Nothobranchius furzeri: one gene and its partners. The protein of the gene in region 3 interacts with the protein of the main gene of each other region in a biochemical or structural test. Links are inferred from orthologs where the notes say so. Each region holds a gene or a part of one and is shown on either strand. Other genes may lie near its edges. The genes, in order: bag2, matk, lrrk2, CUE domain-containing protein 1, synj1, rps15 and arfgap1.

Evidence for each region.
Region 1: the proteins of lrrk2 (region 3) and bag2 form a complex in vitro, tested with the Homo sapiens proteins (2 studies listed by BioGRID and IntAct, with this or other methods). The link is inferred for Nothobranchius furzeri from reciprocal best matches to the Homo sapiens genes LRRK2 and BAG2.
Region 2: the proteins of lrrk2 (region 3) and matk interact on a protein array, tested with the Homo sapiens proteins (2 studies listed by BioGRID and IntAct, with this or other methods). The link is inferred for Nothobranchius furzeri from reciprocal best matches to the Homo sapiens genes LRRK2 and MATK.
Region 4: the proteins of lrrk2 (region 3) and CUE domain-containing protein 1 form a complex in vitro, tested with the Homo sapiens proteins (2 studies listed by BioGRID and IntAct, with this or other methods). The link is inferred for Nothobranchius furzeri from reciprocal best matches to the Homo sapiens genes LRRK2 and CUEDC1.
Region 5: of the proteins of lrrk2 (region 3) and synj1, one has a biochemical effect on the other in vitro, tested with the Homo sapiens proteins (2 studies listed by BioGRID). The link is inferred for Nothobranchius furzeri from reciprocal best matches to the Homo sapiens genes LRRK2 and SYNJ1.
Region 6: of the proteins of lrrk2 (region 3) and rps15, one has a biochemical effect on the other in vitro, tested with the Homo sapiens proteins (2 studies listed by IntAct). The link is inferred for Nothobranchius furzeri from reciprocal best matches to the Homo sapiens genes LRRK2 and RPS15.
Region 7: of the proteins of lrrk2 (region 3) and arfgap1, one has a biochemical effect on the other in vitro, tested with the Homo sapiens proteins (3 studies listed by BioGRID and IntAct, with this or other methods). The link is inferred for Nothobranchius furzeri from reciprocal best matches to the Homo sapiens genes LRRK2 and ARFGAP1.

The regions. Positions count from the first base shown.
Region 1 is NC_091752.1:19,643,860-19,648,034, forward strand, and holds the start of bag2 (BAG family molecular chaperone regulator 2), read right to left. Parts: upstream 2,801-4,175; 5' UTR 2,547-2,800; coding exon 2,422-2,546; intron 2,238-2,421; coding exon 2,128-2,237; intron 533-2,127; coding exon 138-532; 3' UTR 1-137. UniProt on the Homo sapiens protein: Co-chaperone for HSP70 and HSC70 chaperone proteins. Acts as a nucleotide-exchange factor (NEF) promoting the release of ADP from the HSP70 and HSC70 proteins thereby triggering client/substrate protein release.
Region 2 is NC_091748.1:57,570,431-57,574,573, forward strand, and holds the start of matk (megakaryocyte-associated tyrosine-protein kinase), read right to left. Parts: upstream 2,801-4,143; 5' UTR 2,512-2,800; exon of another isoform or gene 2,452-2,511; intron 2,410-2,451; 5' UTR 2,381-2,409; intron 1-2,380.
Region 3 is NC_091744.1:48,488,694-48,491,030, reverse strand, and holds part of lrrk2 (leucine-rich repeat serine/threonine-protein kinase 2), read right to left. Parts: intron 2,203-2,337; coding exon 2,053-2,202; intron 1,984-2,052; coding exon 1,760-1,983; intron 319-1,759; coding exon 232-318; intron 126-231; coding exon 1-125. UniProt on the Homo sapiens protein: Serine/threonine-protein kinase which phosphorylates a broad range of proteins involved in multiple processes such as neuronal plasticity, innate immunity, autophagy, and vesicle trafficking.
Region 4 is NC_091753.1:61,627,391-61,631,589, reverse strand, and holds the start of CUE domain-containing protein 1, read right to left. Parts: upstream 2,801-4,199; 5' UTR 2,656-2,800; exon of another isoform or gene 2,576-2,655; intron 1-2,575.
Region 5 is NC_091750.1:63,460,071-63,463,259, reverse strand, and holds part of synj1 (synaptojanin-1), read right to left. Parts: intron 2,254-3,189; coding exon 1,958-2,253; intron 1,768-1,957; coding exon of another isoform or gene 1,747-1,767; exon of another isoform or gene 1,743-1,746; intron 1-1,742. UniProt on the Homo sapiens protein: Phosphatase that acts on various phosphoinositides, including phosphatidylinositol 4-phosphate, phosphatidylinositol (4,5)-bisphosphate and phosphatidylinositol (3,4,5)-trisphosphate. Has a role in clathrin-mediated endocytosis.
Region 6 is NC_091751.1:72,012,154-72,016,297, reverse strand, and holds the start of rps15 (small ribosomal subunit protein uS19), read right to left. Parts: upstream 2,801-4,144; 5' UTR 2,715-2,800; coding exon 2,712-2,714; intron 2,390-2,711; coding exon 2,304-2,389; intron 1,321-2,303; coding exon 1,086-1,320; intron 1-1,085.
Region 7 is NC_091743.1:50,659,459-50,663,713, reverse strand, and holds the start of arfgap1 (ADP-ribosylation factor GTPase-activating protein 1), read right to left. Parts: upstream 2,801-4,255; 5' UTR 2,619-2,800; intron 426-2,618; 5' UTR 415-425; coding exon 355-414; intron 1-354. UniProt on the Homo sapiens protein: GTPase-activating protein (GAP) for the ADP ribosylation factor 1 (ARF1). Involved in membrane trafficking and /or vesicle transport.

The DNA of each region.
Region 1 (4,175 bases), on a different chromosome or scaffold from region 3:
AATTCGGTATGGCATTTTCCCATAAGACCTCTCCTTGCTGCTTCAAGCAGAGTCCATCTGAAATTAATTAAATGTGTAAAAGCTAACTATAGCTTTCTGTGAGGTTAGTGGAATTCAAGACACCTCGGCAAAGGGTCTCAGTGACCCCCGTTAGCTTTTGTGCCCTCCAGTTTTTGGTGATCCATTATCTTGATGTTCTTTTCGGCATTTTCAACGTTCCTCAGCAGAGTCTCCAGCCTTCGCTTTATCTTCTTCTGGTCCTCCAGAGCGCAGCTGATCACCACGGTCTGAAACTTCTGGTCAATAGGGACGAGCGGTGCCTCCGTGACGCAGGCAGCGTGCAGGGCCAGCAGCTGCTGACGGCCACCTTCCATGTCGCTCAGCAGCTTTTTCACAATCTCGTCTATCATAGACGTGGCCTTGAGTAGTGCATCCTCCTGTTGGGGGTTTCTGATTGTGCCAACAGAGATCTCCACAGACAACGTTCGGCCCATCAGACGGTTCGCAGTCAAAGATAACTCTTCCCTCTCACCTAGAAGACATGTAAACATATTACTAAATCTTTATAGGAAAGAAACTGCTTTTAATGCGGCTGTAACAGCACATCAATAGTCATTTCATATTTCTAAAAGTTTATTTCAATGAGTACAAGCTCTGATTTGTCTGAGATCCCACCCCACACCATAATACTGCCCCCACTGAAACCTGTTAAGCAATATTCATGATGTTCTCCATGATTCTGCCAACTTGTCAATAATAACAAGCTGACACCAAAATACCACTGATATTAATTGGAAGAAATGAATGCAATAACATTTCCAAACATATTTTTTATTGGGATGGACGATGTTTCTCTGGAGCATTTTTTGCCATATTGCTTGTTATGGTCATCACATCGTACAGCAACCAATAAAGTAAATGCTTTGTCGAAAAACTAATAATTTTCATTTCCTCTGAAACATGCAATCCCGTTCTTAATGACTGAATCATGATCCATCCATCAAACTCCCCTCTGACAGTCCCTCCGCTGTATGCGCATACCCGTATTTGTGGATGTATTGCGCATTCTTGGCTTAGAGTAGTTGAACAGGAAGCAAAGTCGGAGCCGGACTGCCTAGTGTTTAACGGACAGAATGTTCGGTTATGTTTGCAAATTTTATTCAAAGATTAGGTTATAACTCATCTTTTCTTGTCATCTAGAATCTTCTGGTGCTGATCTGTAACAGGCCCTTTTGCGCCATGAGAATCTATCGTGGCTGCAGGAACTGAAGTAGGGATAATCCCAACCCACCTCCCCACCTAGTGGACACTTATATTGTGTAATGCCTGAAGTCTGTTGCATCTCTGTCGGAGGTGGGTGTTTTTTTTTTTTTTGCATAGCAAAGCTGCCTTCCCAGTGGAGGGTAACTCTGAAGTGCCTTTTTTTCCCTCCACCTGAACCAATCCTCATGTAACCCTCTGATCTCAATTAGCACGACTCAGGGTTGCGAATGACCACAGTCACCAATTCTTGTCATATGTCTTGCCCATGTATGTCTGATCTCTGAATTGTGTGTACTGAAACTCTAATTTCCCTCTGGGATTAATAAAGTATCTTTGATTTGATTTTGATTGACACTCACGGCAGTGACTTTTGCTTACAAATGTGGTCTGCAGTAACCAAATTTGACCACAGGATGTCAGTCTTACATAATGCACCTTTACATAAAGCCCTTCTTTCAAATCCCTGACCAGTTGAGAGGAGTTTCTAGGTGAACCATGGAGCTCGTGTGAATCATACTAACTTACATTAATGAGGTTTAATGGAGCATAAACCAACATGACTAGACGGTCTACCCTGGTCAGACTCTGGATTTAAATAATGAGCTTTAAGGGTTAGGCCTTTTTGTCTGTTTACAGCGGAACCAAATCAATAAACCAGATGTAGGCTATTGACTCACACGATCCAGAGGTGAAACATGAGCCTGGTTCACACAAACTGGGTCTGGGTGAGATCAGAGGAGATGGGATTCTGGTAGAAATACATTAACCGTACTAGTTCCCCTTTATAACCGCGTATCTTCCCTGGCATTAAGCCGTGCGTGACTTTTGCGCTTATGTAAGTTAAGAGAGAGTTAGCAGCTTCACCAGCACAGATGTTCCTCATTTCTTGACTGTTCTGTATGGACTGAATCATTTCCAGGATGCACTCCCTTTCCTGCTCCATGGCAGATGCTGCTTCTCGTAAAGCCTCCACTCTGACACAGAAAGAGAGACAGCATATGAAATAACACGCTGCAAACCAGTTATGTTTGTTATGAAAAACATTTATTGTCACATTGCCCTGTTTACAGTGTTTATAAAAGGTTTATGCCAATAAATGTTAGCGGCCGGGGCAAATAGCGGCTCCGTAGCACACATGGTACAACAAGGGCCTGTTACCTCGTTTCCAGCTGATCCAAACTTTCCAGGAGTCGCCCCGAGCGGTCTGCCATAGAAAGCGTCCTGCTGAACTTGCTGCAGAGGGCAGCTTCGTTCATTTTCGCTTGTATTTTCGCTTGAGCCATAATGAAGACGAAGATGATGGCTACAGTGCTTTCCCTCGGTGAGCGCAAAATCCAGTGTGTGTCCCTCCGAGCCGTCCAGCTGGGTGTAAATCCTCGGACTGAGGCAGGCAGCAGCAGCGCCCCATGGGGGGAACATTTCCTAACATGGACTTCCTTCACTCCGGCAGAAAGTTCCCGAGGAGACCAGAGCTGGAGCTCCCAATCGTAAGGAGCGTGGACCAGCAGAGGTCCGTGAGCAAGCTCCTCCAGGTCCACGGAAATAAAAGACCTATAATGTTCCAACTCACTTTGCAGTTTTAAGTAATGTGTCTTGATTTATTTGGGCATAATTTTTATTAGGCAGATTGGTAAAGTAATCAAGTTATTCTGATAAACTTATCCAGGCCTATATATATATATATAATTCATTTTCACTCCAGACTACAGATGAAAGCCTGTGGTGGTCTGCAACCCGCAACTCTGGAGCCACAGTGGACCTTCCAGAATGGCTTTTACTTTATAATAATCATAGATATAATAGAAAAAGTGAGATTTAAGCAGCCTTTTGTTATGGATTAATTGAACTGAATTCCCACAACGCAGTGACACCTGTCATCTAGAGGTGAAAACTGCATTACACCCCTAGGCCTCTCAGTTTCCATGATTATGGCCTTTTTATGAACAGTCATGTTGTGCTGTTTATCATGTATATTTTAAAGACTTACTTGTCCATAAGAAATGTTACCAACTCTGCATCAGTCTGGGCTCGTCTTCCCTCTGATCACCTCTCCGTCCAATCTTCTTTTCGAGCTCCCCATGTGTATGTCGTTTGATGGCTTCCGGGGGAGCTGATTACCCTTTTGGGGGAGCCGTGATTTCAACCTCCCCCAAAAATCGCCAAGAAAATTTCAAAAAGATGTATTGCCTTGGTTATCACAGTACAGGCTTTTATGGATTAAAAGAAAATCATAAATAATTCTTGGAAGGGGGGAAACTCCAGGTTGCTGCTTTAAAGTACCCATGAGATTTTTACATCTATTTTTTAAAAATAATTTCCCTAAATATAAATATCTGGTACAAAAAATACATTCATACACTTTTGGCAAAAGTTTTCTTCCTAAACTCAAAATCTAATAGGAACAAAATGGTGTAAATATTTATGAGACGTCTAACCTTAACCTCAGAATTCTGATTATTTTTCCCTCAGAAAAGAGAAAAAGAACTTCTTCTTCAGTGGCCCTAATCCTTTTATGTAAATAGTTCAACAATTATAAAGATCTTGTTTCAAAAGGTCCTGTAACAGTTACCCATGGTCCAGAGAAGCTGTGGTGGACGTCCCTTAAGGTGGCCACCCTAATGCGTCATTCCCTGTTTTGGGGACATTTATAGAAATGATTAACAAGAATTATTTTGGGGAAAACTACATCCACACAAACAAGGTGATCCCAAACCGACACAAGCAGATTTCACAAGCTCTTGAAAAAAATTCCATCTGTTCATTAGAAGTTACCTGTTAAACTGTAAATCAGCACAAGTGCATAAAGGCTCCATCTGAAAACTTCACCAATATCTGAATGAAGTGTAAATCAAATTTAATTTACACACACACAACTACCTTTTATGTGTTAAAAGTTACAAGACATCAACACA
Region 2 (4,143 bases), on a different chromosome or scaffold from region 3:
TCTTCTTCTTCTTAGTTACTTTGTCAGACTGCATGCTTACAAGGCGCACTTCTGCCCCCTGCTGTTTCTTTGAGGTTACATCATTTAAAAACGCAAACATCAAATGCGAAGCTTAATATGTTGTATGTCCCTAAAAGGTCACTGTATTTTAAGATGGCGCATGCCATATGGAGCACCGGTCTGCTTCTTTTGTCTAAAATATTAAAATATAAAGCTAATAATAATGCTTAGAATAAATGCTTGTTTGAATTATCATTAAAAAAAAACAAATTTGAGAATGTGATACAAGAAATTTGATAACTTATAAGATGAAATATCACACATTGGGCCTTTAAAAAGCAGCTGAAAACTCACCTGTTGAAACTTGCTTTGGTGTGACCTTCATCACCAACTTCTCCTTATTCTGTTCTTATTCTGCCTTTCCTGGGATCCACTGATTTCCCTCTTTCCCATTCATTTTCTCTCTCTCTCTTTCCTCACATTTTTTTCTTTTCTCCTTTTAAATATGTTTTAATCATTTTTTAAATATTTTTGTACTTACATTTTTTTTGTTTTTGTGAAGCGCCTCGTGATTTTAATCTTGAGACGCTATATAAAAGATTGTTTTGTTTCTTTACCTACTGTAACTATTAAAATGTTTTATTATATACATTATTTCTTCATATATTTAACTTTAATTTCAACTTCCAATAAACATAAAAATGCCAAATTTCATGATAGTCTTCAGGTTATACATACATTTTTCCAACTTTTTGAAGGTCTTTTGAAGTTTTCTTTTGATTGGTTCAGGAAAACGTGAAGGGTGCCATTAAAATATGGAAAGTGGACACATGAATGACAAATGAAGAAACGCCAGATCTAAAACTTGTTTACAGCAGCAGACAAATGGTGTGTGAAAGTCATGTGAAACAGGACCTGAGATAAATAAGAAGTGTATGATGAGGTTTTAGAGGTATGGGAATCCCTTTATTAGTGCTAAAACACTAGGATACATGTCAAAACGGATTTCTTGAGAATTTGTCATAGATTCAGCTTAAAAATGCCAACAAACTGTGATTTGTTTCTAAACTGTCTTTAACCTGACTGTATAGGAGCAGTTTTGGGTCTGAATAATTCATGGTGAGTAGTCTACAGGTCACAGTGTCGCATCGGTTTAATGATGCTGTTTGGCCTTGAACAGCTAAGGGTATAGAGGAAGCCACACGCTGGAGCACAGGATCTCCATCTCTGAGAGAATAAAGATTGTTTACAGCCTAGACACGCTCGGCCCAAAGCAGTTCTGTTTTAAGAGGTCTTGACCACACGGGGAAATGATGAGTCTGTACTAATAAAAGTTTCTGAAGTTCAAAAGAGTTTTCTCTGTGAAGTGTGTGACGTGCTGCGGTGGTTCACAGGTGACCAGTGGAAACATACAACAGGCTTGTAAAATAGAAAAATTAAACATGTCTGTAAAAAAACTTTGAAAACCTGGCCACATTTTATACAAGAGCTGTTTAAAAGTTTGTATTAGGGGTAGATCTTTGGAAGAACAGAGAGAAATGAGAAATGGGACAGGCCTTTGACAAACATTTTTGTTCAAAACTAGTTAAAAAACAAGTCAAGCTGGTCAGAAATCATAAGAAAATGTTTTCTAACATCTGAAAAAAAGTAAAAGATTTAAAGGAGCCAGAGGACCTTATATATAAAATCAGATTGTGACTGCTTTAAGCCTGCAGATTTAGAACAAAAGAGAACAGATGACCTACATAGGGACCACAAGATCTTAGATGATAAAATGAAGGAAATTATTTTGAGACAACAAGCAGTTCATATTGTTTCTTCTCAGCAAACCGTTTTCATAGAAGAGCAGAATAAGAGCTGACAACTTAAAACAAAACTTGTCTAAATTCTGTTTAACAATTGAGTTCATGATCAGACTCTTATTCTTGCTTTTTCTTATTTACCAAAACCTTCTAAAGGAAATTAAAAGTATGGCTAGTAGTTTTTATATTTAAAAATGACATATTTACATGATCCAACAGTTAATGGGTAGTAATAGTTTGGGATGGATTAAGCCCCAGAAGTTTTGAACAACACTGAAATGTTTGTACTTGAAATTTGTTTTTGGTTAGCAGGGAATTATTTATGCATATCAACAAAATAGAGTAAATCTAGTTGAAAATTACTAAAAGACACGTTTAAAAATCGAAATAAATGCAGTGAATGTGTTTTTTTTTTTTTACTGAAACTGTAACTTTTTCTCAGTGTGTTGGTTAATGAATTAAATGCTATAACAGCTTGCTATACATTTGATAACAAACTCTGGTTGGATAATTTTTACACTGGTGCTGGTGAACAAAAACAACTTTCTATCATTTCATCTTAAACGTATTGTTCCTACCTTGTGAGCTGCAGGGATTTCTGGATGTTCTGTAAGACAAAGAAATAATTAAATTTACATTTTCTGTTTACCTGTAAAATCAGCTGGTTTTGCCCCAAAAGCCGCTGGTACGTTTGTTCATGTTTCAGTACCTGCCGCTCTCTGGAAATATTATTTTCTTAAAAGCAGCCGGATGTGAGATGAAAACTAAAATTCCGACAGCTGTCAGATGGTTTCAAACTGGATTTTCATCTCGTTTCCAGCTTCCGTTCAGCTGTAGCTGTCTCTATTACTAATCCTCTATCCTGGACGACTTCTGATGAGAGACACTTCCTCGGAATTCGCAAAGATATCTCTTATTGTTCTAGGAGGCGGAGTGAAGATTGCGGTTTGTGGTTCATGCATCCTGTCATCGCAACTGCAGCAACAGCACCACCTACTGGACAGCTTGGTGTCACACACACAAACGGTCAACAACTGAAAGCTGACCAGAGGAAACACAAAAGACACTTTGGATGATTTCCCTCACTAAATGAACAAAAACTACTTGATGCCCAGAGTGAAACCTTACATCGGGATGTTGTTAGAAGGAACACATTCTATCAAAGATAATTAACAGGTCTCACATCGCTCTTCTTTGCAGAATTGTTTTAATTCAGCCACTTTTGAGAATTTTCCAGAGCGGCCGCCTCTTTAAGGTCAAACATTCTACTTTGGGGGTTTATGCTCCAGCACAAGATTCATAGTTCTATCAATTACAGAAAGTAGTCCAGGTCATGTAGCAAAGCAGCCCCAGACCATCACACGGTCACCACCATGCTTGTTGGTATGTTTGTCTGACATGGTGTTAATTTTACAGCAGATGTGACAACAAACATTTTCCAAATGACTCTAGGACTTTTCTTTGCAACTATGAGCCAGGTGTTTCTGGTTTTCTTCTTTGGTCAGAAGAGGTTTTTGTCTCGGGACTCTCAGTGATGCCAATGTTGCTTTTTGTTCATCTAATAAAGCAAGACCTGAATTGCGTTTGATTTAGTTATGGGTTGTTGTTCTTGAATTTCTTCAAAACTCACCACGAGTGTCAAACAGGACCCACTGAGGTCAATCCTACAGGTCTAACAGTAACTAATCCTGAGTGTGGACCTGAACTCAGCTTTCCAAATGTTAACCATAGCTGACTCATAATTTCAGAAAAGGCAAATACTTCTTTGAACGTGTTAAATTAAACAACCAAGGAGGCAAAAAATGGCTTAAGAGTGTTTTATTATTTCCCTCCTTAATGAGGCAACACTACAAATACATTCAGACAGCAATGTTCACACTTCCTGTTTCAACAATACAAAAGAGACCGCAACACCCGCTGTAAATAAAATAAGCAATAAGAGGCTATTGGTAAACAAATATGGAACTAAAAACACACAGCAAGTCTCTCAGGTCTGCTTTTAGAAGCCAAAGTTGTGCAACTGTCCTTTTCCTATACAACTCATATAAATGAGACCAAAACAGCACTACCCACACAAAAACAACATATAAATGTTCCTCAAACTTTGTCTTTTAAATACATGATTCAGGCACAAGGAGGAAGGTCAAAGGACTGTAACCGCTATATTTCTACAGATCCCCCCCCCCCCCCCCCCCCCCCCCCCCCCAACTAAATCTTCTCCAATCTGCACATCATCCATTGGAAATAAAAATTACTAAGCATAATTGTACGGCTGCATACTTTATTATGTCTTAAGTGCTTTGCTCCCCAAGCATTTAACTGTGCAAAAACAAACCTCTCT
Region 3 (2,337 bases):
TCAGGCATGAAGGAGCTGCTCTTTCATTTTAGCAGCGATCTGCTCTCTCCTCTCACAGTGCTTCTTCAGGTCTTTGACCTCATGTGGCAGCATGCTGTTCCACACCATCAGCACAGACTCCTCATCTGTGAGACACACACACACACACGCACGCACACACACGTAGAGCGAGAGCCTCCCAGCGAGGTGACTGTTTTCCAAAAAGGACACCAGAGGACACATCAGGCTCACCATCTTGATTCTTGTCTCGTGGGAGTCTTCTGCCCAGAACCAGCACCACGTTCTTCCAGTCCAGTGTCTCTGCTCGTGAGAAACCAGCTTTAACACACAGCGTGCAGAGAGTCGTCTACGGGCAATCGCCCCGAGAAGCCAAACAAGAACCCAGCTGGATCTGGATGTTCAGCCTCACTTATCTTTATTTTCTCTACTTTTCTTTGTTTACCAGTTCCCACTGTCACTGCTACACATAACTGCACTTGAACTGGTCTCTGTCCAGTATCACTACAGCGCTCACTAGAGCTGGAGGATGGTGCTGATGGTCTCAGAGGGTCTGATATTAGACCAGTGGTTGTGACCCCGACTGAAAGCTGAAATAATGAAAACTTAACTCTTTTTGTACTTAAAGGTTCCAGATTGTGCTGCTTTAAACCTTTCAGAGCAAAGGCAGGCACAGTTTATGATAATATATCATCATTGGCACTATTGAGATGTCATTTATCTTAAATAGAAGTTAGTTTCATCAGCCCAAATTTATACCGTTACAGCAAAGCTCCGCCCACACCGACAAAACGTGCCTAGCACAGCGTCTTCGGCAAGTCTGTATGGGCTATGGTGGTCCAGCGGTAAGAGCCCAGCCAGCACTCCAACCACTGTACTACCACGTCTGTTACAAAACAAAAAGCCTAAATCTCTTGTGCTGGCCATTATGTGCACCTTTGTAGATGTTTTGTCATTAATGTAGGAGGGAACGGAGAAATGCCTGATGAGGTAAGTGGGATACTTTCTCCTGGAGGCAGGAAAAATCTTCACATTTTAATTATGGCTGAGGCAGAACCATGCATGAATGCAGCCAAAGATGGGTTTGGGGTCTTTCACATGAGAAAATGACCATATCACATATAAAATGCTCCCAAATGTGTTTTTTATGATATGGAACCTTTAAGCTAACCGGTTTAACCCTCCCACTGTCCTAGTGGGTGTGACCCCATGAGGAAAGTTGACCATTGAGTAGGGTTGATGGTTTATCCCTTGGGTCCATGTGGCAGGGGTGAGCACCACCTCACCCCTGCCACATGGTCAACTTTCCTAACGGGGTCACACCCATAAAGACAGTGGGAGGGTTAAACCCCCTAAATCAGTTATATAATGAACAGTTTCTTTGGTCTTATTTGATTAGCAGAGTAACTTTGGGATCCACTGGTTTAGAAATCTGAAATTGTGTTTCTCTGACTTTTGTTTCACGCCAAAATAAAAGAAACTGACCTGAAACTAAATCTAATTCCATTCAGGCTCCACAGCAGTGTTCAGACTTGTTAAGACAATAGTCAAAATATCCAAGTTAAACGTATCCACTGGCCTCTAAAAATCCTACTTTTTCATTAATAAATGCTAAGATGTTTAATTCATCAGCTCAAAAATACATTAAGCATGCAATACTTTAGAAAAAAAAGAAATAACTGGTGGAAAAGGTCACTGAGATGAAGCTCCGTTGTCTAAAGCAGAACATCTAAAGTCCAGCCTGAGTGAAAGGAGGACCTACGTATGAATGCTGAGGTGATGGAGCGAACAGAGTCACACATGGGTGCCGTGACCTGCAGTGGCTGGTGTTTAGAGAGCTCCAGCAGCAGCAGGTGGCCGCCTCTGGTGCCAATCCAGAGAGCTGCAGAGCTCTGCACCAGCAGAGCTTTCACCGTGGCCCAGGAGGACGAATCAGAGCCCAGATCCACTCTGCTGCCCCGCCTCCATCTGCACGCAGAGTCGTTCCTGTGAGGAGATGACACGTTTATATGTGGCTGTGTGTGTGTGTGTGTGTGTGTGTGTGTGTGTGTGTACCTAATAATCTGAGCACAGTTGATGCAGTCCACCATCCTCTCGCTCTTCTTGTCCCAGACTTCAACAGTCGGTGTTCCAGCTTTACTCAGGTACACGTATTTATCCACAACCATTCGGGACACACACGCCTCACTGCTCAGTAGCTTCTGCCTGAGGGAGCACACACACACACACACGCGCACACACACACACACATTAGATCTATGTGCTGATCTGGGCCCGTTGTTAGATCGACCAGCCCACCAGAACCACGCACCTGCAGTAGCTGCACAGTTGGCTGCAGGC
Region 4 (4,199 bases), on a different chromosome or scaffold from region 3:
CTACGGGCAGCCAGTACATTTGTTTGATGTGATGAAAAATTTCCTGTCTAAATTTTCGTCGATTTAAATTTAATTATACTCTTATGTCATGATTATCTACCGAGCACCAAAATGGAGCCGTTTGGATGGCATCATTATAATAACCTCCAAACGTGCATGTGTCCACTTGAGCGAGCCAGCTGAACGGCCGTCTTCAGGAACCTTCCAAGAACCTGAAGAGGGGTAGGTAGTTGGAGCGGCCCGGTGCAGTTGGTGGGCGGGAACGCTGCCCATTCATTGTAACTCAGTTGGAAAATATCAGCGTTTCCCCTGGGAGGGAAGTTTTAGGCGGACCGTTTGGCTTCCGTGCTTGGGGGGGGGGTCTGCGTGATTTGCACCAATCGATGACATAGCTCACAACGCAGCGGTCGTGCTGCGTTTTAACTAATTCCTTACCGAGCCTAAATGTAAATGGAAACACAACAACTAGGAGGACTGGGCCTTCGGTTGTCCCGGTCAGTTGCGCCCTCACTGCCTTTATCCTGACGTTCCATTAAAGGACACGCACCTAATGACTATTGCCATCTTCTACGTTGCCTCCACCTTCAGATCTGACCAATTCCTTTTTAGGTTGTTTTTTTTAAGTCCACTGCGATCTCCGTGGCTCCATAACCCCCTGCACTGCTGCAACAACATGCAATGTAACATCAGCTGGTTTATTTCTATGAAGGTACTTTATATTGCACATCTACAGCAGGATGTGGGTGTTTAGGAGAGTCATATCAGCACATTTCTAGGAAGAGCATGATTTATATTATTATTATGTGTTGTTTATGTCTGCTAAGCACATAAACAACATAAACAACATATTATGTTGTGCAGAGTCTTTATTATTGGGGCAGCAGAAGGTCAACAGGTTGAGTGGGTTGTCCGGTAATTGGAAGGTTGCAGGTTCGATCCCGGCTCCGGACAGAGAATTCTGCTGTTGTGTCCTTGGGCAAGACACTTAACCTTGCCTTCTGGTGGTGGTCGGAGGGACCGGCGGCGCCAGTGCTCGGCAGCCTCGCCTCTGTCAGTGCGCCCCAGGGCAGCTGTGGCTACATCGTAGCTCATCCCCACCAGTGTGTGAATGTGTGTGTGAATGGATGAATGCAACACTGTAGTGTAAAGCGCTCTGGAGTCCTCACTCTGAGAGGTGCTGTACAAGTGCGGCTCATTTATCATTTATCATCATGCCCTCAACCATGATTGTGAACAATTAGTTTTTAGGTCATTTAAGAGTTGTTTTCAGACCCCCACGTGTCACCTGTGTATGGAGGTCAAGGGTCACTGACCTTACCAAACCAATAATTAGCTCTAAAGGTTTTGGAATCAATTAAATGACAGCAGTGCCCAGATTTATGTGCCTGCCTAATTCTGTTTACACAATTAATGCACGCTTTCTGTAAACCCTATAAACTTTGTTTCACTTCTCAAATATCACTGTGTGTTCCTGCTATATGACATATTTAACAGACATGTTTTATCGTAACAACCAACGGTCGATACAGGAAACTCATGAAGATTAACAAGGCTGCCCAAACGTTCACATCCCACTTTATCTACGTCTACTTAAGGGAATGAGCCAAATCTGTTATAATCAGGCTGGACAGGAAGTTACTTTACATAAGTCAAATGTTTTGCTGAGCTTAAAAAGACTTTTAGTAAAGATTCAGAGCAAAGAGTCATAAATGAGGCCCCAGAGAGCATGCCCCACGAGCAGCCGACACAGGGAGAGGAACCAAAACCAGTGGGCTGTAGTAGGTCCAGTCCACAGAGGTCTGACGTTAACAGTTACAAGGACTTAAGAGGCTGCTTCTCACTAAATCTTAGATAAATATAAATTACTTCTTTTTCCTCTTCTTTGAACAATCTGAACAATACTTTCCTCTCAGCAGTCACTAATTATTTTCTAAAGTCACAAAATATGTATCTGACTAATTCAACTGACAATTAAAATAAACTTTAGGCTAAAACAACAGCTTGTAAAATGATGAAAACTAAGAAAATGCAATATTTATTTTGTAATATAATTTGGTGTTTTGAGTTAGGATTTGTTAATATTTTCTATTAAAGAACATTTTGATATCTGGATATTAAACGTGATTTCTGATTAGGAATGCATTGATCTGAGTCAGACTTGTTGATTCACCATTTATATTTATTATATTATATATTATATTTATTATTATGTAAGTGTGATAAATGATGTGCTGTTATGGGTTTGTTTGTTTGTTTGTTTGTTTGTTAGCTGGCTAAGCTTGTCCCATCATCAGTGGGATGCTAACCGGCTAGTTTAGGAAATGATATAAAATATTTCACACATCGGCTGATTAAGAACAAAGTAAATATAATCAGTGCCACTGATTATGAGTAACAACATCTGCGGACATTCAGTAAACTGTTTAGTATCTACGCGTTAGCTCTTCAAGCTAACACGTCAGGCCTTTCTCAGCAAGTCTCAGTCGCGAATATTCACACACGTCAGCGAAACGTGGCTAATCGGAACCGAACACGTTCGACATGTAAGCACATCTGCATATAACAAGAATTCAACCTGCTTCGCTGTTTGATCAGAATCGGCTAGCAGGTGGGAAGCAAACAGAACAAAAGCGGAATGTTGCGGCCGTTACTCACAGGAGGAGGCAGCAGGACCCGGATGCTCCAGGTCCAGAGAGAGGGAAGGGCGCGCGCTCACAAATGATTTCTCTGAAATTAAACCTAATATTACCACTGATTTACAATGACACGAATATATTTTAAACAAATAAGGACAACTAAAGGGTTTCCAGGACCACAGTGGCGTGTCCAGGGCATGTAAAATTGGGTGGCCCAGGGGACACTTGTTTGCATGGGTGGCACCAAAGATCCCCCCTCACAAAATCAGTCTTTTTCATTCTAGTGAATGTGTGAGCTCCACATTGTGCCATGACCAGTTGGGCTTGGGATCACAGACAGGTGATAATGTGTTGCATTCTGGGACGTGGTTGTAGAAGAAGAAGAAAATATCATTTCTATAGCGCCTCTCAAGATAAAAATCACGAGGTGCGTCACAAAAAAAATGTAAAAATATAAAAAAGCATTTAGAAAATGTTTAAAAATATATTTAAAATGAGCAAAAATAGACAATTGTGATTAAAAATGTTAAGAAAGAGGGAGAGTGAACAGGAAGGAGGGAAACCAGTGGATCCTGAGGAAGGTGGAATAGGTGGGGAGAGCAGAATAAAGAGAGAGAGGTGAAGAAGGTCATACAAAAGCCAGCTTGAACAAGTGAGTCTTCAGCTGCTTTTTAAAGGAGACCACTGAGTCCACTGGTCTCAGGCTCAGGGGGAGAGAGGTCCAGAGTCTGGGGGCCACAGCAGCAGATGATCTGTCACCTTTGACCTTTAGCCTGGTGCTGCACAACCAGTAGGCTTTGATCACTGGACCTCAGGGACCTGCTGGGGGTGTAGGGACTAAGAAGATCACCAATGTAAGATGGTGCTTGTCCATGTAAGGCCCTCTAGACCAGAACCAGGATCTTGAAATGAACCCTGAAGTTGACTGGCAGCCAGTCAGAGTCAGAAGTCAGAGTCTGACAGATTGTGAGAGAAGGTATTCTCAAACAGAAAGGGAGGCCCTAGCGTTAGAGTGGGCATGTGAGAGGCTACATCCATATGTATATGGGAGACAGTTTGATCTAGTGACAGATCACAAACCACTAGAGGTCATATTCAAATTCAATTCAATTCAAAGATACTTTATTAATCCCAGAGGGAAATTAGAGTTTCAGTACACACAATTCAGAGATCAGACATAGGTACAGGCAAAGACACATGACAAGAACTGGTGACTGTGGTCATTCGCAACCCTGAGTCGCGCTACCTTAATAGAGATCAGAGGGGTTTACATATGAGGATTGGTTCAGGTGGAGGAAAAAAGGCACTTTGGAGTTACCCTCCACAGGGAGGGCAGCTTTGCTCTGCAAGAAACACCTCAAAATGCAACAGACTTCAGACATTACACAACATAAGTGTCCACTAGGTGGGGTTTGGGACTCTCCACACGTCAGTGAATGCAGCCGCGATAAGCAGCGCTCGTCACCTCCGTTTGGACAGGGGTGGGAGGTCGTTGGGTTAGAGAGCACAGTGACTCCTGGAACGATTCAGCGGCCTCCACAGCTCGCAGTCCCGCCCAGGCTG
Region 5 (3,189 bases), on a different chromosome or scaffold from region 3:
TTTTTTGACACTGGACAACTGACACAAATGGTAACTAGTTCATTCAAGCAGTTTCTTATTTTAAATCTCTAAATTGATCTTTTGGTCGTACTCTTTAGTTACAAATAAAGTTATTGAACTTTGAATTTGACCTTTTGCACATCCTAAGGGTACCTTTAATGTGGCAGATTTAAAACAATGATTTATGTGTCACAGTGAACAGAATAAACAAAAACATAACAGATTTGGCAAAAATTATAGCATAAAGCACAGATTTCATATGAGCTCACTCTAATCCTCTAACACAGAAGCCACGTTTACATGCGCACATTTAATCAGATTGAATGCCCAATCAGATCGAAAATTCTGCATGTAAACATGTCAATCGGAATATTCTGATCCGATTCGGCCCGATCGGATTGAAATTTCAATCCGACTGAGAGGTGGTTTATTCCGTTCTTCATTCCGATTGACGTGCATGTACACAGCCATTCGGATTGTTGGGGTAAAATAATGCCCACTGCGCATGTGTGCAACAGCGAGCGGGCCTCTCCGCTGTCATTTGGACTGCCTGACTTCAAAAATGACGGCGTAATTAATGCGCGGCGGCTTTTAAATCCGACGACAAGCCGTCCCTGTTTCAGTAATATTTAATTCAGAACTTGCATTTTGTGGAAGTAAAATAAAAATCTGATTATTGCACAAATCATTCGACAAACATGTTCCAATCTGTACTGGAAATACGCAGGTTTATCGCAGGGGTTGCAGCGCAAGGAACCTCGTTTCTGTCAGCTTTGAACGCAGCAGCTTCTGCAGCAGGTGATGGAGGCGCGCTTGTAAAGAATACAGGATAATCTGGGTTTTACAGACCTGATTGGAGGCTGATGTTGGGTAGGAAAACGTCCTCGGTTAAATACTCTGGACGACAGTAAAGTCCGTGTTAGAAGCACGTAAACGCAGATGACCTGAGATGCGGTTCGTGAATGATGAACACAGGCTTCTAAAACTTTCTGAACATCTTCTGTTATTTTGTTTGAACAGATTTTTCTCAACAGTTTCAGCTGATTGTCACATGTTATTAATAATAAGCCACAACAGAGCTCAGTAATAAAACATGAGTCTAAACCCCCCCCCCCCCCCCCCCCCCCCGCTCTGTGCCGCAGCGCAACAGCACAGCTGTCACTTCAGACCCGCGGACCAGCTGATCGAGAGGCAGAGACATAACCCTCCCTTATTTTAATCAACAATAAAATGCAGCAAAGCATATATCTGCAGTTGCTCACTGAAGAAAACGTAACTTCTATGAGCTAAATAAAAATATTAAATAGAATAAATGGATCTGGAAAGCAGGAAGAATAGTTATTTCAGTTTTTACATTTTTCATGTCGTTTCATGGCGTTTGTTTACAATTTTTCTTTCGGGAAAGGCAACTCTGCGCATGCTCAACCTATTTAATCGGATTAAATGCTTGGTGCATATGTACGCACGGCATGATCGGATCATTTCAGTTCGTGTCCATGTGAACAGAGATTCGGAAATTCCGATCAACCAGGATTTCAATCGGATTGAGGAAATTTGGCTCATGTAAACGCAGCTGTTGAGAGCATATGATGGGTCAAGTGAAGGGAAATGGTAACAATCTTTATTTTCCAAAAAGAGAAACATGTAAAAGGTCTGACGGTGGACTAAAACAGAGGGGTGTTAGAGCAGGGAACTGCTGTGCTATGGAGGATGAGACAAAAAGCTGGTTTAATGTAGTGTACCTTTTCACCCAGATGGTTTCTCCAGCTTGTGAGAAAGAGACAAATGCATCAGAGACAAAAGCAGGAAGAACGACATAGACGACTAAACTACCCTAACATGAGTCAAAGAAGAGAAGATTTTCTCTGCAACACCTCCTGCTAGAAGACATGACTAAATTGTCAGACAAAGTGTTGCTAATATTGTGTTATCACAGAAACTCCAAGTTGGCACCGACCTGTGCAGCTGGGGCCGTTTCAGACTTGGCGGCGTCGGGTTGGAGAGTGTGAGACGAGCGGGAACGAGGTGGAGGTTTAGGAGAGGGTAGGCTCTGCTGAGGCCCAGCAGGGGGGACGGTGGGAGCAGCTGCAGCAGGCAGAGTCGATGCCGGTGGTGTGGAGGCCTGCTGCGGCTGCAGAGGAGCCAGGAGCGTGGGCTGCATTGGTGGTGGGAGCTGAGGGTAAGCGGAAGGTGGAGCTGGCTGAGGCTGGACCTGGGGATTCACTGCAGGAGGGGGTCCAGATGGTGGGGGGCCTGAGAGGAGAAACAGAACAAATGACGATGTTTAAAGGTGACAAACTATAAACATAGCCTCTTTAAGACAAAAGGCCCACTTCCACTATCAGAACTTTCAGGTCATTTTACCAGACTTTCATGGCATGCGTGTGCAACCATTTTACCAGGCCGGCCCAAAAGGACCAATTATCCGGGTCGTTTCAGGAACAAACAAAGTACATGAACTAAGGTAAGGTCTGCTACAGCCGCTGGGCGGGACTTGTGGTTAACTCATGCTGATTGGTTGTAACTCAGTAGGAAATGACATCAGCAGACTTCTCCAAACAAGCTGCATTTGTAAAACTGCAAGAGTTGCTACTGAAGCGAATTAGAACAAGAATAAACGTAAGCAACGCTCACACTGCTTTGAAATCTGAGTTTCTAAACTCCCAACGCTGAAAAAAACAACAGAGACCCCCCCAACAATGTCATAATTCATGCCACTTTTAACATCGCACAGCTGTTCTCCCCGTTCCCTCCAAGGCGTACTTTAATAGAATAAACCTTTAATAATATTAATGTCTGTGGACACCTTTTGGCACTGATCAGAGACACCACTCACTGTCAAAGCAGTGGTGATACGCCAGGGGCGCAGATAGGATTTTCAAACTGGGGGGGACAAAGTTCCAATGTACCCTCCCGCAAACGCATACACACACACGCACGCACGTTAGAGATGAGGAAAATAATTAAATAATCGAGGCATCAAGATGCGGACATAAACGATTCTGCATCGTAGAAGACTCAATCTTCCTCTCAGCAGTGGATGAGTTGGAAGTTAAATCAGTTGCTGATAAATGTAACAACAAAGTCTCCACTGATTGTGACGGTATTGATATGGTGTTGGTTAAAAGAGTTATTGATGGTATTCTAAAACCATTAACTTACAGTGGGGCAAAAAAGTATTTAGTCAGC
Region 6 (4,144 bases), on a different chromosome or scaffold from region 3:
CAAGGGCACAACAGCAGAATTCTCTGTCCGGAGCCAGGATCGAACCTGCAACCTTCTGATTACTGGACAACCCGCTCTACCTCCGGAGCTTCTGCTGCCTAAAAACGGCGCCATGACTTTTCAGGCAGGGTTTGGCCCAGTGCCGCCAGCCTAAGCATCTCTTAGTAACAGGGTTGGCGGTTTGACTACGAACCACGGATAACCCTGTAGAACACCTCCAACGTGGCCTATGGAAAACTGGTTAGATCACATTTAAATGAGCTTTCAAAACTAAAATTATCCATCAAATAAGATGAACATGTTTGGCCTAGAAGTTGGTCCAGCTGTGGAGAGGCGTGTGTGTGTGTGTGTGGGGGGGGGGGGGGGGGGGTTGGCCGTGAGAGCGGGGGTGTTGGGGGTTTGATTTCAAGGGAAACACTGGGTTTGTGCTATTTTAACCCAAAGGTCATTCTGGAAATGTCACGAAGCACGAAGCATAAAGAATCCTGATGGTGGCTCAGGAGTTCATCAGAAGGTTGCAGGTTTGAGCCCCGCTCAGTTTGATGCTGCCATTGTGTCCTTGTGAGGAGGCACAGACAGTTGTTTCCATCGCACTGTACAGCCCTGCTCTGACATGGAAGAGCCTGGGGGAAATCAGGACGTCAGTAACACCAACCAGATATGCACCAACTAGCGAGAAAAGCTATTTTTGATCTTTGTCTGCTGCGGTTTTAGTTCTTTTCGGTGCACCGCTGCTGATACAGCGCCCCTGTAGTGGCGCACCGCTGCAACTGCAGTTAAAGTAACATCCATATAGCTGGGGCAGTGAAATCAGGCTGGGGCGGCACAGCATTAGCTGGAGGCGGCCGCCACGCTAGTTTGAATGCAGGAAAAACCCCTGACATATTCCATGTTCCAGGGAGTGCCGTCATCATCTGGTGATGAAGCTCCCACTGACCGCTAGGGTAGGCGTTAGCCGTGGTCATTTAACTACGATGACACTGCAGTATTGTTACACCCCTACTGGTTAAGGAGAAGGTCTACTGTTGAAATTAGATTGATTAGAGAAAACAGCAGCTCCAATCAGCTGATTAATGACTTCTTACCTTGATTTCCACCTGGTTGAAAGTCTTGCCGTTGTACACGCCGACCATGGAGCCGACCATCTCAGGCAGAATGACCATGTCTCTCAGGTGAGTCTTCACCACCTCTGGTTTCTCCATAGGAGGAGCCTCCTTCTTTGCTTTGCGCAGGCGTTTGAGGAGGGACTGGTGCTTGCGGCGCAGACCCCGGTTCAGCCTCCTCCTCTGGCGGGCACAGTAGAGCTGCATCAGCTGCTCGCTGCAGAGGAACAGTACAGTCAGCAGGGTAGACTAGTCTCTTGTGTTACGTTACAAACTCTTAAGACACGCCATGCTGGCAAATCAGCGCAATACCGCCGCCACGGTGTCTAATGAGCGCGCCGTGGCGGCATGGCGATGTGGGAATGTGCAGCTTTTGTCCTTGGTAGTGATACTGCATATTCATCTTGGCACAATCGTGATCAGGTGTAGAGTTACAGTTGAGCTTTGGTAGGAAACCGTATTGAAAATGAAAGTTGTGGTTGTGTGAGAAACACAAGCAGCTGAAATCTTAAAGCGGAGCGATGCGACGCTCCTGGAGCTTCTCTTCGATGGCTGGAGCTCAGATCACCAGACCGCATGGTGACCAGACACCATTAGGAGCAGTTACAAACCTTATGGAGCGCAGCTTCAATCGTAACAGGGCGTGATCGTGACATCATCAGTTGCCCCGTTGGAGGCGTGTAAGTCCTTTACTACTGTAAACAGCGCTCAGGCTCGTTCTTGCAGCTTAAATTCATCTAATATTCAGTAGACGGGTTATATTACACAACTCTAGTAAATCGTTGCTGTGTGGTGGGGTCACACGCATGATCACCGGGGGAATAAAGGTGGAAAACAAGCTAACTTTTCACCGTTTTCCTGCTTCAGAGGCAAAACCACGGAGACCAAGTATCTAGCTTAACTAAGTCTAGTTGGATTGCTGCTGTAAGGCGACCATCATCATCTTCTGTTAAGTTACAGATGGTGAACTTTTAAAACATCTATTTCCTTCAGCCGCCACGCGCACGCACACACACGTGATCTGTGCGTTTCTCATCCTCATCTCCCTCAGACTGCAACCATGACTACCCACCTGCAGGACGTTCTCATCGGTTCACACAACTCTGACCTTGTGTGTACTCGTTCTCCAAGTGCATACCTGAAGTGACCCGGTGTTGACATCAACGGCTCGTATGAGCAGAACTGTTCTTGCTTACTCACTAGGACATGTCCAGAAGCTGGTCCAGGTCCACACCTCTGTAGGTAAACTTCCTGAAGGTGCGCTTCTTCTTGATCTCGGTATCCGCCTGGGAGAGAACAGCATCATTCAGCCACTGCGATGCTGTGCTTGTTAGCATTTCTACTACCACCCTGTTAGATTAGCTTTTAGACGGCAGACGCCTCACACTCCGGTCTCCATCCCGTTTGTGAACAGGCGGCTGGAGCTAAAGCTAAAACTAGCCTCCCGATGGTAGCTTCACCGGTCATTACGACACAATATCCCACTAAATCGTTGCTGTAGATGTCTACCTACAGCACCATGAACTCGTCTGTTACTCTTGATGACATTAAAGCTCAGATGCACAAGGATTATCATTTGATAAGCTTTAGCGTCAGAACAACACCTACCATCTTGCCCGACGATCCGGTGGAAAAGAACGACCGGAAGTCTCGTTACGCCTGATATCGCGAGAAGGACATGAAAGAGTCACGCGGGTTGCGTTATTTGGAATCGTAGGATGCCCAAGGAAGATCCCTCCTTTCTCGCCTCTGATTAGCTAGAAGGACTCTTCCACCACTTTTTTAAAATTAAACTTTATTAACAACAAAGCTTACAGGTTTACTTTCTAACATTTAAGAAAACGGATGTATGTTTAACGTTCATAATGATAGCTGAGTAAAGCATCACAAAGATGCAGGGGTGACAGACAAACCTATCATACCTACTGCCTTGTTGGAGCAACAAAAGAGACACGAGACCCTTCAGAAAAACAATAAAGGAAGGTTTACCAAATTTACATTTGTGTGCAAAGAATTTTGCTAAAATGATCAAATTATTTACTGTGAATTGTTTTTCCTTGTCCTCCAAAATAGCTCCAAATTTAACATGATTATAGGACAAATAAATTATACCTAAATATCTGAAGCCCACAGACAAAAACTGTCCCAGAATATTTTTGTATATTTACAAGTTTAAAAAAACACGTTCTTCAGTTTCTATATTGTTAGAACAGAAGGTACAATCATTTTCACCAATATCGAATTTGGAGCCCTGCAACGGACTGGCACTCTGTCTAGGGTGTACCCCTCCTGGGGATAGATAGGTACCAGCAACCCCCCCCCCCCACAACATGTATACCAAGTATTGTTTCTATGGTTACATTGTTACATGCCAATTATCACTTGTAAGTCGCTTTGGACAAAAGCGACTGCTAAATACATAAACATAAATGTTGTGATGTCTTAGTAAATATTCTATTTGGTGAGAGATAAACTTTATTGTATTTATCCTAGTGGATCTATAATTAAACGGGTAAACTAGCAGTAGCACATCCAACGTCAAAGAGAGTAAAAAGTTATTATCAGGAGAGGGAGAATGTTTAAGTGGTTAGCAGCAGTGTGCTAGACGATGGCCCCCTCCATGAGGCCACCACAGCTCAGCAGAACATCGTTGTAGCTTCTTCTGGGGAGAAAAACACTTAGAGAGAAAATAAAGTTAACAGCTGATGAAGGTGAGACTGGTCTGACTTCGGAGGACTATAAGGCAACGTTACAACACCGTGCGGGACTCGTTTACAGAATTACGTCATCACGGCCCAAGCTATGGTAACCTTTAAGGCCCAAAAATGCATTGTATAAAAATCACAATTTATAAACATCAAAACTTAACATTATAACTTAAACTACTGCTAACCTAAATAGCTTGCAGAGTCTTTTGTACAGCCGCCCCCAAATGTGCGCAGTACATTTGCTCAAACTAAACTCCTTTACAGAAGATAACCTGGTGTCCCTGAGCTCCTCCTCTCTTCCCTTTTGTGGAATTGTCTGGGCTTGATGGAACC
Region 7 (4,255 bases), on a different chromosome or scaffold from region 3:
ATCCTGTATAACCTCATTATTTAAAATCTATTTAGCATTACACTGGCATTAAAACCATTATTTCTACAAAAATATATTTAGCTTTTCCTAAGTTAAAAGGTAATATTGCTGTTTTCTTAGTGAGTTATCTAACACAGATGAGTTGCTACAACTACCAGATAAGTTCTCCAACCAAATGTCACCTGGCAGAGATGTTTCCGTCCAAAATGACTCTCCATTCATTTGAATGTTAATGAAAGAACCTGTTTCTGAAGAGCTAGCAGAAGGTGCTTTACTGAAAGTCTGCCAACCAAACGCTACCCTCTGTGTGAAGAGCAGCAGGGTGGCATGATGGGGCAAATTTAAGCCACTTACGTTATTTTCATCCTGTGTTCTCACTTCTTTCAGAACTCTTCTGGTCCTTGGACTCGCCATGATCACCCACACTGAAAGAGAATTTTTGTAGATCTTTTATTAACATCAAAGGAAAAAATGTAACTTTTAAACCAATAGTATTTCACACACTAATTGTAATTATAAGTGATTGATCCACAAGCCTTCAACGGCTGGATGGCACTAAACAGAAACTCTCGTTTTGACGTTGCATCCTAAAACAAACCTGGACCGACTCCAGACAGCAGACTTGCTGCTATTTAATCGCTGCTTGCTTGGAAAGAAGACGAGATCAGCTGGCTGCAGCTAAAAAAACGTGGTTAATTCTTTCCGGAGATAAGTCACCTAAACACTCATCAGATCACATGCTTTTGGAGATAACTCAAGAGTTCTGCTGACATATAATAAATCGAGTTTTTTTTCCAACAAACACGGACAGATTTCAAATGGTATTATATGATGACTAACACTGATCTCCCATCACTTATTTTAAGCTGCTGGGACAATAATAATAATAATAATAATAATAATAATAATAACAATAATAATAATAATAAGGCTTTGACGTGCTGGAGGGACTGATAAGTTGTAGAGGAAGTAGCTTAGTTTCACTAATTGCAGTCTTGATTCTGGGATGCTCCCTGTCACGCTGTCAGTGGAACGCCCTGGCAAAAATAAGACTGGTAAAGAGGAGGAAGAAGAGACTGGCAACAGCTAAGTGAGAATGGGATCATAATATCCTCGGGGCACAACAGGAGTTGTCAGAGTTTAGACTCAACCAGGAGCCACAACCGTACGGTGCCCTCTTCCAGGTGGATTTCAGGCTAAATTAACAACTTTTGGCAAACAGTCAATTCCACCCAACCCTGAAGCTACTGGCTTACTCAGTGTTCACCAGACACACTATACATCTCCGTGTGTACATTTCTCTGAAGGTAAATGCCAAAGTGTTGTCATTGAGCACTGCACCCAATATGAACTTTCTTTAAATTTAGATTTTGGCACAGATCTGACCTTGTGCTTCACAACACACAAACAAACCCAAGAGTTAAGTAAGCTCAAGTAAGTCTCCAACGAACTCGGTGGAAAACTTCCTCCAAGTTGGAAAAGATACATTTCTCAAATTAAGGGGTCGATATCTCAATATCTTATTCAGAAGTGATGATAGCATGGAGCTTCATCTGGAGAAACACACACTCTACCCCAGCGTGTGGTGGTAACGAAGAAGCTGAGTCAAAAAGCTAAACTTTCCATTTACTGGTCCCTCCAGATTCATGTTTTCATTTGTGATTTTTACTTGTGAGATTTGGATCATGACTCAAAGAACAAGATCCCATAAACAAAGTGGTGAAACTGGCTTTCTAGTCAACAGCTTTACTGGCCTCAGCTTTAACTATAAGGCGGGGAGCTCATTAAAGAGGACACAAAACCAGAATCTGCTGGACCAACGACAGATCTCCCAGAGCCTGGTAGAGCCTCGGAATACCACAGGATTTTCCAAAGAATGACAGAATGATGGAGCGAGAAACAAATGAAAATGTGAATGGCAGATGCTAATTAATACTATGATTACTCGAAATTAAAATACATATAAGCTACAAATTTATGGCATATCCACATATCACAAATGATTATGGTTTATGTTAAAGTGCCAGAGGCCAGAGAGGGAAGTCAGATTATCAGGAGTGAATCAGAACGCAAATGGCTGTCAAATAATAAACCTTTCAGCAGTGATTTAAGAACGTTCAAAAAGCAGCTGAAACTGAAAAATGTAGTTTACATTCAGATTTTCTACAGAAAACTACTTATTCCAGACGTGTTTCCCTCTCAGATTCATATTGAAAACAGTTTTTGGTTAGTTAAAATAGCTTTCACTATTTATTGTTGTAAAATTTTTAACGACCAAGACTAAAATGTAAAACGCAACAGATGTTTTTGTACTTGCTGTAACCCGTAAAAAAACACCAATTTCAGAAAAATTCATTTCGGTGACTGTCATGGTAACATTCCATTTTTCCTCAGTAAATTGTAGTCGTGTCAGGCTTCCTCTCACTAGTAGTCTTGATTTTATTCACAAGTTATGTTGAAATCAAGCAACGTCTTGACATAAGTTGGTGACGCGGTTAATGCTCCTAATCTCGGGTAATATTTAAAAGCGGGGCTTCGTAATAGACACAAAACTGATAAAAATTCAGTGAGCTGGCAGATTCGTGATGCTAATGTAAGCTAGCCGCTAGCCGTGTTACCTGACAGACTGGTGAACAACAAGGACGCCGCTTTCAGACTCTGTTGGCTCCGCTGATAAACTCCCCGGAGGATTTTCTTCTGTCGCCGCGGAGCTGCAGATGTCGGGCTGTCAGAGACTATCGGCTCCACAAAAGAGTAATTAAAATACCGCCGATGTTAAAAGCCGGTAGCCGTGTTCCTGTTTGCATACGTTGGCAGAGAAATGCATCATGGGTAAAGCTTTCTTTGTGATCTTTTACATCGGAAGTGCGTTTAAAGTGCGCGCTACTGCCCCCTGTCAGGATAGATTGTTACTACTTTTGCTCTTGAAACAAAAAACACAAGAATAACAGATATTAGACGTCATAGATGTAATAGTAGCGACAATAATGATGGTGAAGCACTTTTCAAGATAAAAATCACAAAGCGCTGCACAAGCACATTAGAATAATTGAAAAGACAACAATGAAGGTTTTAAAAAAATTAAAATCAAGAAAACCTGACAATACAGAAATGAAAGAAATAAACGATTGGAGCTCGAATAAAAAACGTGACTAAACATCAAGTTTTTCAAAATGTGATTGTTTCATTACTAAACTACTCTATTTAGATACTGCTAATCAAATGCAAACTCTTTTTACAGTGCATTGATATGGAGCTATAGCTACAACATAATAACAGCACAGCTTCATGCAACGACTGCATTATGTTTCAAAGGAAAAATGATTGTGACTGATGATAATGATAAGAACCTGAAACAGGATGTAACTTTACACAGCGGCAGGTTAAATGAAAGACAGCCAAGTCAAAGTCAAAATAAGACACATTCAGAACACAGTGCATTATGTGAAATGAGATTTACTGCAGCTTTTGTGGCATGCTGTCCACCTGCCACAATCACAATGTCCCCCAAGGTGTCTAATAAATAAATAAAGAATGAGACGGGGCATGGGAAGTCAGGTTTCATTGAAGGAGATCTAGTTTTTCCGACTCAACAGATGCTGCTGCAGCTCAAATTGCTAAATGGCCTAATGTTGCCTCTGATAGACAAGTGCTTAATCACACTGCACATAGCGGTTTATTGCACAAAACTTCACAGGTCTAGCTGAGTCCATACCTGACCAGGTGAGGGTTTGGGTGTAAGGATGAGCCAAAATAAGGTCAGCTATAGCAAACTCAGTTGTAACATTGAACCTGGTCAGTGTAGAACCAAATTCAAGTTTTTGTTTTATCAAAATATCATAAGAAATACTCTTTTGATGAAGCATTTTTTCTAATTATCTTCTGCAAAACAATCAGCATAAGCACACAAATTGATTATATCCTTCTCATGACCTATGACTGACCAGAGCCTAATCCATGGAAATCACAATCCATTCAAATAAACTCTGCAGACATGAACTTATGAACTTATGTCATTTTTACATAATTACGAATAACACAGTAGAAGATGATCATAATAAACAAGTCATTAAGTCAGGTCAAGTCAAGGCAAATTTTATTGATATAGCACATTTTCATGGCAACAGCCATTGCCTCAAAGTGATGCACAGATAAGAACAATGCACAAACATAAAAGACACAAAGCATAAAAGAAGCAATAAAAAAACTGAAAAACAGTCATAAAATTTGAAAGCCTAAGACACATAAAACAGAT